Linked DNA regions of Caenorhabditis elegans. The protein of the gene in region 1 purifies or fractionates together with the protein of each later gene. This does not show direct contact. Each region holds a gene or a part of one and is shown on either strand. Other genes may lie near its edges. The genes, in order: C50F7.3 and madf-3.

Region 1 (4,695 bases):
TGCCAAACACTAACTCAAACCCATCTGTTGCAGCGGATGGTTCTGGAGCATCAGAATGTGGTGATCTTGATGGGCGGGGAAGTCTAGTCGGACGTGGTCTTCTCGACGGATGTGGATGTGGACGATGTGGTGGTCCCGAAGGATGTGGAGGGCCAGGTGGAGCTCCAGAAGGGCCTGGAAGATCGGATGGTCCTTGCGGTCCTGGTGGCTGCCCAGATGGTCTCGGAGCAGGCGGAGGGGATGAAGGATCCGGAAGATCCGATGGATCCACGGCATGAGCAACGAGTACCAAGACTAGCACCCCAAGAGCTTTTCGGAACATTCTGAAATTCATATCAAATTGAATGTGAAATAAATGGGATATTAAAAAGAATATGAAGCTGAAACTAACTGAATAATTTCAATCCAGGTCTTCAAGCTTTTTATATCATTTTTTATTAGTTCAACATCAACAAATCATCTGACAAGAGTCCAATCCTTAAAGGATACACCCACCCATAGATTCAAAGTTCCACAACATTCCCATTCTTATCAGCAATTGAAGAAACACCTTTCAGACTGTTTTCTAATGATAACATAAACTGATATCATAAACAGGTATCCCTCGGCTCATTCTCTTACTGTATTTGCAACATTTCATGTGATTTTCATAAACCTCCTTTATTTACATTGACCTTTTGTTATAAACAAAAAAAACATAATATTATCATTAATATTTCTTCAAAAATCAAATGCTCATAGACCAAGTCAATATTTATGCAAAAAATCTATTTTCAGAAAAAAATGAATGAATCATTGTTGGAAAGTTGATTCAGTTTCGGCGGATTTCATTGGAGGAAGACGCACGAAAAGTCGAGAATTCCATCCACTTGGCACATCTCCTTCCTTTACTTTTTCTTCAATTTTCAGCTGAGAGTGAGCAGATTCATTGCTTTTGGGAATTCTGGAAGTAAAAATAGAACTAATAATTTAAAACAAATCGGTCAAATATTCTAATGAATCAAGCACTTGCACATCTTAGAAAGAGAAGAGACTGTGGCGTCCCGTGTCAATTATATTTAAAACCAAACTGAAACCGTATTTTCTATAGTTGACAAAATGTTCATTAACCAATATTTTCAATTAGTGCTGCACCCCATTCCTCAAGTTCTCTTTTGTTTTAAGAAAAATTGTCAACTGAAGAAATACGTTGCAAATATTTTTCTAAAGTTTTGGAATTTATTGTTTTTTGAAATTTAAAATGAACCGAGAAATATCTCTTTAAAGTGGAACAAAGGGGTGCAGCACTAATAGAGAATGTACGGTATAAAAGCAGAAATGTGTATTTACAACTTACGGCTCTGCTAACAAAATTGGCTTCAACTGTTCACCACCGCCAAACTTTCTCAAGACTGCAATTCCCTCAGCTCCATAAGCCGCTGCATCCGGTGGCAGTTTGTGGATACGTGGAGCTTCTTTCACTGTTTTTGTGATCTGGTTTCTCAGCAGATTTTTAAGTGGATCGGTCGATGGAATCTCAACAGTAACCAAGCAGTAGTTACGGATCAATAGAGACTTTCTCACTCGTTCATTGAACTATAATTTGTTTCTCATAGAATAATATATATGCACACAGAACTCACTCCAGTACAGGACAAAGGCTTTTCGCCATCTACATCGAGAATTGTTTCTCCAACACTAAATGTCATGTCCCCAAGTGAGTTTTCAACAAGGTCACAGACAACAATCTAAATAAAATCAAACAAATTGAAAACTTCTAAACTTTCAGAAACCTTTCCTTCGATTTCTTTGATGTCAAGACCGAGATGAAAAACTTTTTTCAGATTATACAATACCAATGTATCAGTAGAATAGCTTTCATGCTTTTGGAGCGGCGGGAATCCGGAAGGACGTGGAATGTGTCTTTTGAACCTAATCACTTTGTATGTCATCTGGAGAAAAACAAATTTCGATCAGAAGTATTCGGGATTTCTGCTCCTGACAGATAGCTTACTTTAGCACATGGTTGTCCATTGATAATTGTTTGAATGAATCTGAAATTAATTTTAATGCCATTTTTCAGTGTGAACTAAGAATTCTCGGGGGAACGTCACGTTGGAATATCTAGGTGTAACATTGTTTTATTACCTTGCCAATACGCCTTGGCCTCCAATCTGATACCCATTGAGATAAACAAGAATGTCTCCAACTTTAATAAGACCCTAAAAATATAGATTTTGAGACAATAAACGTTTTCCGTATACATACCGTCCATGGACTCTCAAATGGTATGCTAACAACAACCGAACTTTTCAGTTCAATTCCTATCTGAAAGTGATATGCTTATCTTTTGTTATCCTTTTAATACTCACGTTATCTTCAGCCTTGACTACTGTAGAGAATTCTAGAGTCTCAAAAAGATGAATTGGTGGCAATTTTCCACCACCGAAAGCTTTTTCGAGACGGGATTTTGCCTGAAAATTGTGTTTTCCTATGATATAATACATAACTACATCGTCTACAATTGTGTGCCTACGTGGAAGACCTTACGCCATATTAAACTTTGAAAAGAGCTGCAGTTTTATTTCAAACATTTCCAAAACTTACAAAAGCGTCCATAAGTGTAAAATCACTGTTCAGGCGTAGGAAAATGATAAGAAATAATAAGAATTGCCAGAGTCTCGTTTTCTTTTTTTTTTCAAGCTAAATTTTTTTTTGAATAAACTTTTTTATTAGTCACGCTTAATTTCATAAAAAATAATAAGTGTTTCCACTCTCATAATATATTTAAATCGGAATATTTTTGAGTTTTTGTCCAACATTGTTACATTCGATAAAGATCAGATATTTGATAAAGATCTAGGAACACCAAAAGCTAGACGCACTTCCACGAACCTAAATGAAACAATTCAAATAAGAATTGAAATACAATGAAATCGATACGATTCAATAATCCACTCTTTTTTATTGTTCTTGTATTCGTTATTCAATTATCATTAATAATTTTTCGGGTCGTATTTATAGGAAAGGTATGTCAGAATTAAGACTCTTTGTTAACTTTAAAATATGAAGACCTTTTTGAATTAATAAACAGTTTAATGATATTAAAAACTATTTCCAGCCTGCATCGTCCGTTCGCGCAGCCCGTGAATGCCTACACATTCAAACAAACACTGCTGAAACAGATGATCAGTTTTTCGGAAGGGTATGCCATTTTGAAAATGGCTTGCTGTTTTTCTGGTTTTGAATTTGTGAAGATATAAGATCAAAATGATGTGATGACTTTATCAACTGATAAGTTCAATTAAAACCCACTTCTTTGGTGAAACTGAAGCTTGATTTCTCTTTTTATCTCAAAAATGAAAACTTCCTGAATATGATAAATATCAAAATTAATGTTGTTTAAGATGTGGCCTTCACTTCATCAAGTGGTTGATAAATGCTCATATCGTCATTTTAGAGATCGTGTAAAAGTATTCGGATCTTCTAAACAATACATTTTATGGCTCAATTGGCTTGTCGATGTGAGAATATTTGAATTTTAATTTAATCAAGAGTTTGAATTTTCAGAATAATGAGCACATGTGTAACTCAATTTTCATTCACAATTCAAAAAGTATTGCAATGGAAAGAGAGTTTAAAAGATACAACAGGAAATGTGTGATATATTCTTTGAGTGATAAGCATACGGTACGAATGAAGTTTGCTAGTTGAATATAATAACTTTACGAATTAAAAAAAAGGAAATTAATTCCAGGAAACCTCACACTATCAAGATCCTCGATATAGTGTCCTCACATTAAAACAAAATGTGAGCTCACAAGCACGGCATTTAGGATGGGGAGTTGATCATTGTAAGCATATTACTTGTTCACGTATGAATATACAAGATTCTTCAGATGCTCGAGATTCGAATGCAGTTGATTTGACATACTTCACAGTTGTACAAGTGCATAAACTACGTTACGATTCAGTTAATATATTTTACGATGGAAGTCAACATATTAAAGCTCTGTTCACCAAATCTGCATTCGATGAGGCAAATCTGGTATCATGTCAGGTAAAAATTCAAGTTTGATTATCGTGTGCATAATTAATTTCAGTTCAATATCCTATACGATAGACCAAAAGGCCGTCTAGCTCGTCGAGAATTCCGTGCAACATGGAAGAAGCTTCTTTATGATAGACGGTATTTTGTGGCCAGTGTACGAAGGATCAGTGGAAGTAATGATAAGATATCTATTCTTCTTCTTAATATTTGCGATCCATATTGTTGGGCAAAATATATCAGTAATCAACCATTCCTTGCCAAAAATGTGTGACTTCTATAAATGATTTTTTTTTTAATTTAAATTCTAAATTCTAAAATAAAACAGGAAAACACAACGGTAAAGAAACAACAAGCTCTACGGAAAAATCCTAAAACAAGAGTAAATACCCGAGAATACAAGAGAAAAATGAAATGATTAAGGGAAAATCCTAGAAAGTAAAATTATAAACTTAAAATGAGATGTTTCGATTATTTCGGAAGAGAGGAAACAGCTTTAGCGGCGGCTTCATCCAAATTGTTGGCTGTAAGAATTTTGAGTCCAGACTTCTTCATGATTTGTTTAGCGGCATCAACGTTAGTTCCTTCCAAACGAACAACCATCGGCACATTTAATCCAATTTTGTTCACTGCACTAACAACACCATTTGCAATGGTGGCACAGTTGA
Region 2 (6,711 bases), on another chromosome or scaffold:
ATCTTGCTCTGTTTTCCGCCTGTTTTCTTTCGTTTTTCATCGATTTTTTTCGTTTTCTCTTAATAAAACTGATAAATAAATATTTTTTGCAAATGCTAAAACAATTTCCAAGTAAAAAAAATCATGTATTCAGTGGGCAAGCAGCGGTGAAAGTGGTCAATGTAAAATGATGGATTACGGGAATACAAAACCTAAACTTTTTCTGAAACATGATACATATGCTGCTTAAATGCTGAGACTACCTGATTTTCATAACGAGACCGCTAAGAAAGTTTTGAGGTTTCCAAAATTCAACTTTTTTGGTGAAAAAGTCGAGATTTTCGCACAAAAAAATTGAATTTTGAAAACCTCAAAACTTTTTCAGCGGTCTCGTTATGAAAATCAGGTAATTTCAGCATCTAAGCATCATATGTATCATGTTTCAGAAAAAGTTTAGGTTTTGTATTCCCGTAATCCATCATATTACATTGACCACTTTCACCGCTGCTTGCCCACTGAATGCATGATTTTTTCACTTGGAAATTGGAAATTGTTTTAGCATCTGCAAAAAATATTTATTTATCAGTTTTATTAAGAAAAAACGAAAAAAATCGATGAAAAACGAAAGAAAACAGGCGGAAAACAAAGCAAGATAAATGGCCGCTGAAACTTGTCGGCCCCTCGGCCATGGCCTAGAAACCACTTTTCCTCGTCCCTCGCGAGGAAAAAGTTGCAGTGTAACTTTCAGACTTCGCGGTGAGACCCATCCGCAAAAAATTTTTCAAAATTTTTCAAAAAACACAGATAAAAAGTAGGTTTTGAACACCTTAAAAGAGGTAAATTTACAACAAAAAATCCAAATTTTCTAGGATAAAAATCAATTATTCATGAAATAAAAGGACCTGAGATAGGAAAGACGGCGATGGAAATTAAGAAACTGCCCACAAAAATTACAAAAAAAAATACAGATACAGAAATATTGTACAAATATGAAAATATGATGAGACCAGTTGATGGGATAAAGATCAAAAAAATTGGAAATAAATGCGCCAAGACTACAGTACCTGGGGTCTCGAAGCGACAATTTTTGTTAAGTGCGTGTGTAAAGGTGTGCGCCTTTAAAGAGTACTGTAACTTCAAAAATTCGTGAATTTTCATCAATTTTTCATAGTTTTTCGATAAAAAAGACAATAAATTTTCACAAATTGTGAGAAAAACTCGACAAAAATTCACAGTTAAACACAGTACTCTTTAAAGGCGCACACTTTTTTCAATTTTCAACTTATCAAAAAAAAAGTTTTCAACTTATCAATTTGGGTCGTGGCGAGACCCGGCTTGGGGTAAAATCGAAGAAATTTCGAGGTTGGGTAATAAAAAGTGGACAAAAAATTGAAAATTTCGGCTAGAAAATTCAATAAAAATCACAAATAATTAGGAGCAGGTGTAGACGGAGGTTTAGCGGATTCCAAAAGTATCATAATCTGCTGCTTTGCAATTATTCGTGCTTCTTCTCCAAGTGTCCTTAGATCCGATACAATTGATGCAGAGAATGCAGAATCTCCGTCGAGAAGTACATCACCGTTGTTTGGTCGCTTTTCAGCCATCATCACGTAGTTTATGCTGGAAATTTCAGGGGTTTATTGATTTTTTTTTTGGCAAAATAAAATTATTATTTTGGAATTATCTGTGATTACTTGTCGGAAAAAATTGCACCAAATCATCAAGTTTTCGCAAATTCCAAATTTTTAAAATTTCATTTTTCTAAATCTTTGAATTTTTTTTTTTGAAAATTTTTCAATTTTTCTAGAGAATCTAATAGAAATCACCGAAAATTGTCTTAAAACCGCCACTATTTGCTTCCGACCAATCAGCGCCCGACTCCGCGCAATTCCGAACCAATCAGCGGCACAGGTCGTCGCTGATTGGTTCAAAAAAGAGAAGGGGCCGAGCGCTGATTGGTTAGAAGTTGATCAATTTTAGAGTCAAATTTCCTCTTTTTTTTTCATCAACTTTTTGCTCATTTTAGCTCACTCACTCATCATCGTAATCTCCATAATCTGACATTTCATCCTGATTTCCTCCGTCATTGTTTCCCCCTCGTTTCAGACTTCGAGCACATCGAGATAGTTGCTCTGCAAAATTTTAGTTTTTTTTAAAGTATTTATTCCGGCGATTTTAGGAGCCACGTAAAATAATACATGGAACTGCGTAATTCGTAATTTCACATATGGCGGTGCGAAATTTTTTACATGTCAAAACAAGAGTTCTAAAACTAAACTCTTTTTTCGTATTTATATTGAGGAAAAAAAACGATTTTAAAGCTGGAGGAGTAGGAGTAAATGAGGGATTTTACTTCAAAATGCGCAAACTGATCCTGAATCTCTCTGCATCCACACTATTGTCCGTAGATCTGCATCCGCACTATTGTCTTCACTTGCGAGGAAAAAACGGGAAAAACTAGAATTAACGTCGCGCAGATACAGATCTACGGAGTGCGGCGCTGAAAAAGGCGCGGCAATTTAAATGATTAGGAGATTAGTCAGAATTGAAAATTAACCAAAATCAACCGATTTTTTTTCAAACTTAATGATTTTTGATTTTTTTTTTCGGGGGCCTTTTATGGTATTTCGGCATTCAGGATCAGTTTGATTTAAAGGTTTTTTGTTTTAATTTTCCAGGAAAAAAAGCTCGTACGTTCATCCAAATGCTGATCTATCCAAGCCATATCATCATACATCTCCCAAGTTGACACATCTTGAACATTCGGATCACCCTGAAGTTGCTAAGAAAAATTTGTAAAATTTCTGTTTAAAACAAAAATAGAGGCTCCACGAAAACGGGATACTGTTGAGAAAGGGGATTCTGGCACTGTGCCAATTTTTTCTCAAAGAAAAATTGAGTTTTGTGCGTTGGCAGTGCCAGGCAGGGAGGGGCAAACGATTTTTTCCGGCAATTCCGGCAAATTTCCAACTTGCCGAATTTGTCGAAAATCGAAATTTCCGGCAAACCGGCAAATCAGCAAATTGCCCGAAATTAAAACTTCCGGCAAATCGCCAAATAGGCAATATCCCGAAAATAAAAATATTCCGGCAAATCGCCAAATTGCCTAAAATTAGAATTTCCGGCAAATCGCCAAACCGGAAATTTGCCGAATATCAAAATTTCCGGCAAATCGCCAAATTTGCCGTTTATCAAAATTTCCGGCAAATCGCCAAATTTGCCGTTTATCAAAATTTCCGGCAAATCGCCAAATCGGCAACTTGCCAAAAATCAAAATTTCCGGCAAATAGGCAATTTTCCAAAAATCAAAATTTCGGGCAAATCGCCAAATTGCCTAAAATTAAAAATTCCGGCATATCGGCAAAATGCCCAAAATGAAAACTTCCGGCAAATAGGCAATTTGCCAAAAATCAAAATTTCCGGAAAACCGGCAAATTGCCTAAAATTAGAATTTCCGGCAAATCGTCACTTTGCCGGGAATCAAAATTTCCGGCAAATAGGTAAACCGGCAACTGCCGCCTGCCAGATCCCATTTTCCATAAGTTCTCCTTTTCATGAGGCCTCCAAATGCCTACCAAATTCCTCAGCCTCCTCTTCTCCCTAACATATCGATCTCGATGCTTCTTCCATTGTTTATAAATCGACGGAACTGTTCCAGGATATCGTAGTTTATCAATAATCATTCCCCATGCTTGAGTACGACAGTCTCCATGACGATATTTTGGATCACGAACATCATAAAGACACGGATGCCTTCTCACTTCAAGAATTAGATTTTTTCCAAAACATGGCTCAGCAATCTTTTCATGAACTCCAGTTGGCTCTTTTCGAGATGGTGATATTTCTGCTCGATCTGTCATATGTGGATCTAGAAAATGAAGATGTTTGAAATATTGCCATGATGATTTCTCATTTCCATATTTTTGTTTTCTCTTCTCTTTTCCATATTTATCTCTTAATTGCTTCCATCTCGCAGATAACATTCTCGGATCACCATCAAAACCGAGTACAGTAACCAGACGCTGCCAAACTCGATTTTTGTATTCTGTATTACGGTATTGTCGGTCTGTATTGTCGAAAAGGCATCGACTATGACGGACGGCTTCGATGAGACGTAGGTTGAATGTCGGTTCGATCATTTCCTCGCCGAAGCGGGTCGCTGTGTAGTTCCTGCAAAAAAAGGTTATTTATGATTTTTTTTAGAAAAATCAGATAATTTTCTGATTTTTTTAAGCGAACTTTTTTTTCGGAAAAATGCTTTTTGGGATTTTTTTGAGTGAATTTTTGATTTTTCTAATTTGAAAAAAAAAACTGATAACATCAAACTTTATCCAAAAATATGTTCTTAAAGGAAAACGCGATTTTTTGAATTTTTATCGAATATATAATTTTAAAAAATAGTTTTTCTGTCGGAAATTAATTTTTTTTTAAATTTTTTACAAAAAAAGCGCAGTTTTTTTTAAAAAGAAAATCGAGTATTTTTTCTCAAGAAAAAACACCTTAAGATTTTTAAAGATTTTTATCGAAAAAAAATGTGTTTTTAATGGAAGATCAAGTTTTTTTTTAATTCAATTTTTTTTGATAGAATATATAATTAAAAAATGGACTTGTTTCGAAAATTAACTTTTTTAAATTTTCGTATTAAAAAAATTGCAATTTTTTCGAAAAATCTGGTATTTTTCGAAGGTTTTTAGAAACATCTTTTTTTTAAAGTAAAAAACGTTTTTTTTTTTCGAAAAAAAGTGTTTGCAAAAACTGATTTTTTACCTTTTTAAAATAAAAAATTGTTTGTTGAAAAAAAAAAATTTTGACAACAAAAGTTTTTTTTTAATTTTTTTATTTAGTAGATTAAATTATTTTTAGCACTTCGTAAGTACTTACAATTAGAAAAATTTTCTTTTTTCATATATAAAAAATTGTTGATTTTTCGCCAATTTATCGGAAAATAAATTGGATCTTTTTTGAGAAAAATCTGATTTTTTTTTTCAAAAATTCGATTTTTCTAAATTTATCCAAATATCATTTTAAACTCACATATCGTATTGTTCTTCGTGATATAAATGCTGATAGTTGTGCTCACTGGAGATCATGATTAGCTGAAAGTGTTAGAGCAATCGCTTTTTGAGACGGCTTTTAGAGATATTATGAGGAAGGTTTTAAGGAAACCATTATGGGGAATAAAAAGAAAATAGATGTGATAGAAAATATTGATTTTTTTTCAAAAGAAATCAACAACAAAAAAACAAAACAAAACAAAAAAAGTAACAATTTAAATCTAAAACAACAGAAATCGCAAGCTCGTGTACTCCACGAGGAGAAGTAAAGTACTAGAATTTTGAATTTAACACTAAAAAAAAATGATTTTTTGCTTTAAATCCCAGAAAAAAAATGAGATTTTCAATTTTTGGTGATTTTTGGCAACTTAAAAATTTTAATTTTAAATTAAAAATTTGCATTTTGTTAACAGTTGCTGTTCGGCAAATTTCTTTGTCGACAAAATCGGCAAATCGGCGAATTGTCGACCTGCCGATTTACCGAACATAAATTTGCAGGAATTTTTTGGAAGAATTTTTACGAGACGGAAAAACTTGAAACTGTGCTTTTTTGAAATTTTTTTGTCGGTTTTCTAGATATTTTCATAGAATTTGCCAATTTTCAAATTAGATGTAGGAATAGTCATAGGATGCGTACAGTTTTGCCGATTAAAATTTAAATTCTGAAATATCAAAAAAAAAAAAGGTAAAAAATCGCAATTTGCCGAAAATCTATGGCAATTTCCGTTTTTTCGGCAAGTTGCAGGTTTGCCGATTTACCGCAAATTTTCAATTCCGGCAAATTTGCCGATTTGCCGGAAAAAAATCGTTTGCCGCAAACACAACTTTAAATGCCAAAAATATACCGTAATTTTAATTTGAAAAAGTGGAGATTTGCAATTTTTGGTAATTTTTGGCCACTTTTAATTGTTTTAATTGTTCAAAAATTTGCATTTTGTTAACAGTTTTCTGTAATTTTGAGCAAAAACTGTAAAAATTTTGCACTTCTCCACGAGGAGTACACGAGCCGCGTAAATCGACACAAGCTGAACAAAAATTACAATATTTAAAATGAATTCAATTTTCTTCCTTTTTCACTTTTTTCGCCGCCAATTTCTTCTGAAATCGATCTCTTTTATCCAATTGTCCACTAATTTTCTCCAGCTTTCTCTTGGAATTTGTCATTCTTCGAGTCCTCATTTCCTCCAAATGCCTATCAGCTTCATCTTCATCCATTCCACTCATCAGAAGCTCTTTTCTTCGATTAATCTCCTTTTTCTCTCCGAATTTCTGATTTTCCAGCTTCAACTCGGCTTCTTTCTTCGCCACAAGCACTTGGGTGACGTATTTGGTGACATGTTTTGGGCTGACCTGAAAAAAATGCGAAAATTAAGGGAATTTATTGATTAAAAAGTAGATTTTTTGTGTAGAGAAATGAAAAGAGACGGGGGAAAAAATGATGAAAAAAAAATTATTTGCGTCAATATAGAGAGAAACGCAGTCAACTAGAGAGTGAAAAATGAGAGGAAAATATTTTTTTTTGGCGTCATTGAAAGTGGAAGGAGTTTGGAAATTCAATATTTTGGCGGGAAATTCAAATTTTTTGAAAAAAAATGTTTCTTCCGCCTTTTTCGTGTTTTTAGCAGAAAAACTCGCTTTTTTCGAAAAAAAAATTAAAAATTTTCCTTTTTTATCCAAA

What was found.
Region 2: the proteins of C50F7.3 (region 1) and madf-3 fractionate together in Caenorhabditis elegans (co-fractionation; one large-scale study listed by BioGRID). This does not show direct contact.

Annotation. Positions count from the first base shown.
Region 1 is NC_003282.8:7,730,275-7,734,969, reverse strand, and holds C50F7.3 (PDZ domain-containing protein), read right to left. Parts: upstream 2,642-4,695; 5' UTR 2,599-2,641; coding exon 2,587-2,598; intron 2,454-2,586; coding exon 2,352-2,453; intron 2,308-2,351; coding exon 2,248-2,307; intron 2,202-2,247; coding exon 2,128-2,201; intron 2,034-2,127; coding exon 1,994-2,033; intron 1,932-1,993; coding exon 1,773-1,931; intron 1,728-1,772; coding exon 1,623-1,727; intron 1,576-1,622; coding exon 1,337-1,575; intron 1,034-1,336; exon of another isoform or gene 1,013-1,033; intron 944-1,012; coding exon 793-943; 3' UTR 740-792; downstream 1-739. Other genes in the region: clx-1 (Basic proline-rich protein-like), read right to left, coding at 1-322; C50F7.9 (Poly-N-acetyllactosamine extension enzyme), read left to right, coding at 2,910-3,008, 3,101-3,184, 3,387-3,503, 3,550-3,669, 3,737-3,833, 3,879-4,039, 4,083-4,301; sucg-1 (Succinate--CoA ligase [GDP-forming] subunit beta, mitochondrial), read right to left, coding at 4,499-4,695.
Region 2 is NC_003280.10:4,333,114-4,339,824, reverse strand, and holds madf-3 (Alcohol dehydrogenase transcription factor myb/sant-like protein), read right to left. Parts: upstream 5,078-6,711; 5' UTR 5,014-5,077; intron 4,150-5,013; 5' UTR 4,119-4,149; coding exon 3,555-4,118; intron 2,753-3,554; coding exon 2,674-2,752; intron 2,112-2,673; coding exon 2,015-2,111; intron 1,600-2,014; coding exon 1,401-1,599; 3' UTR 787-1,400; downstream 1-786. Other genes in the region: H20J04.4 (RNA helicase), read right to left, coding at 6,090-6,383.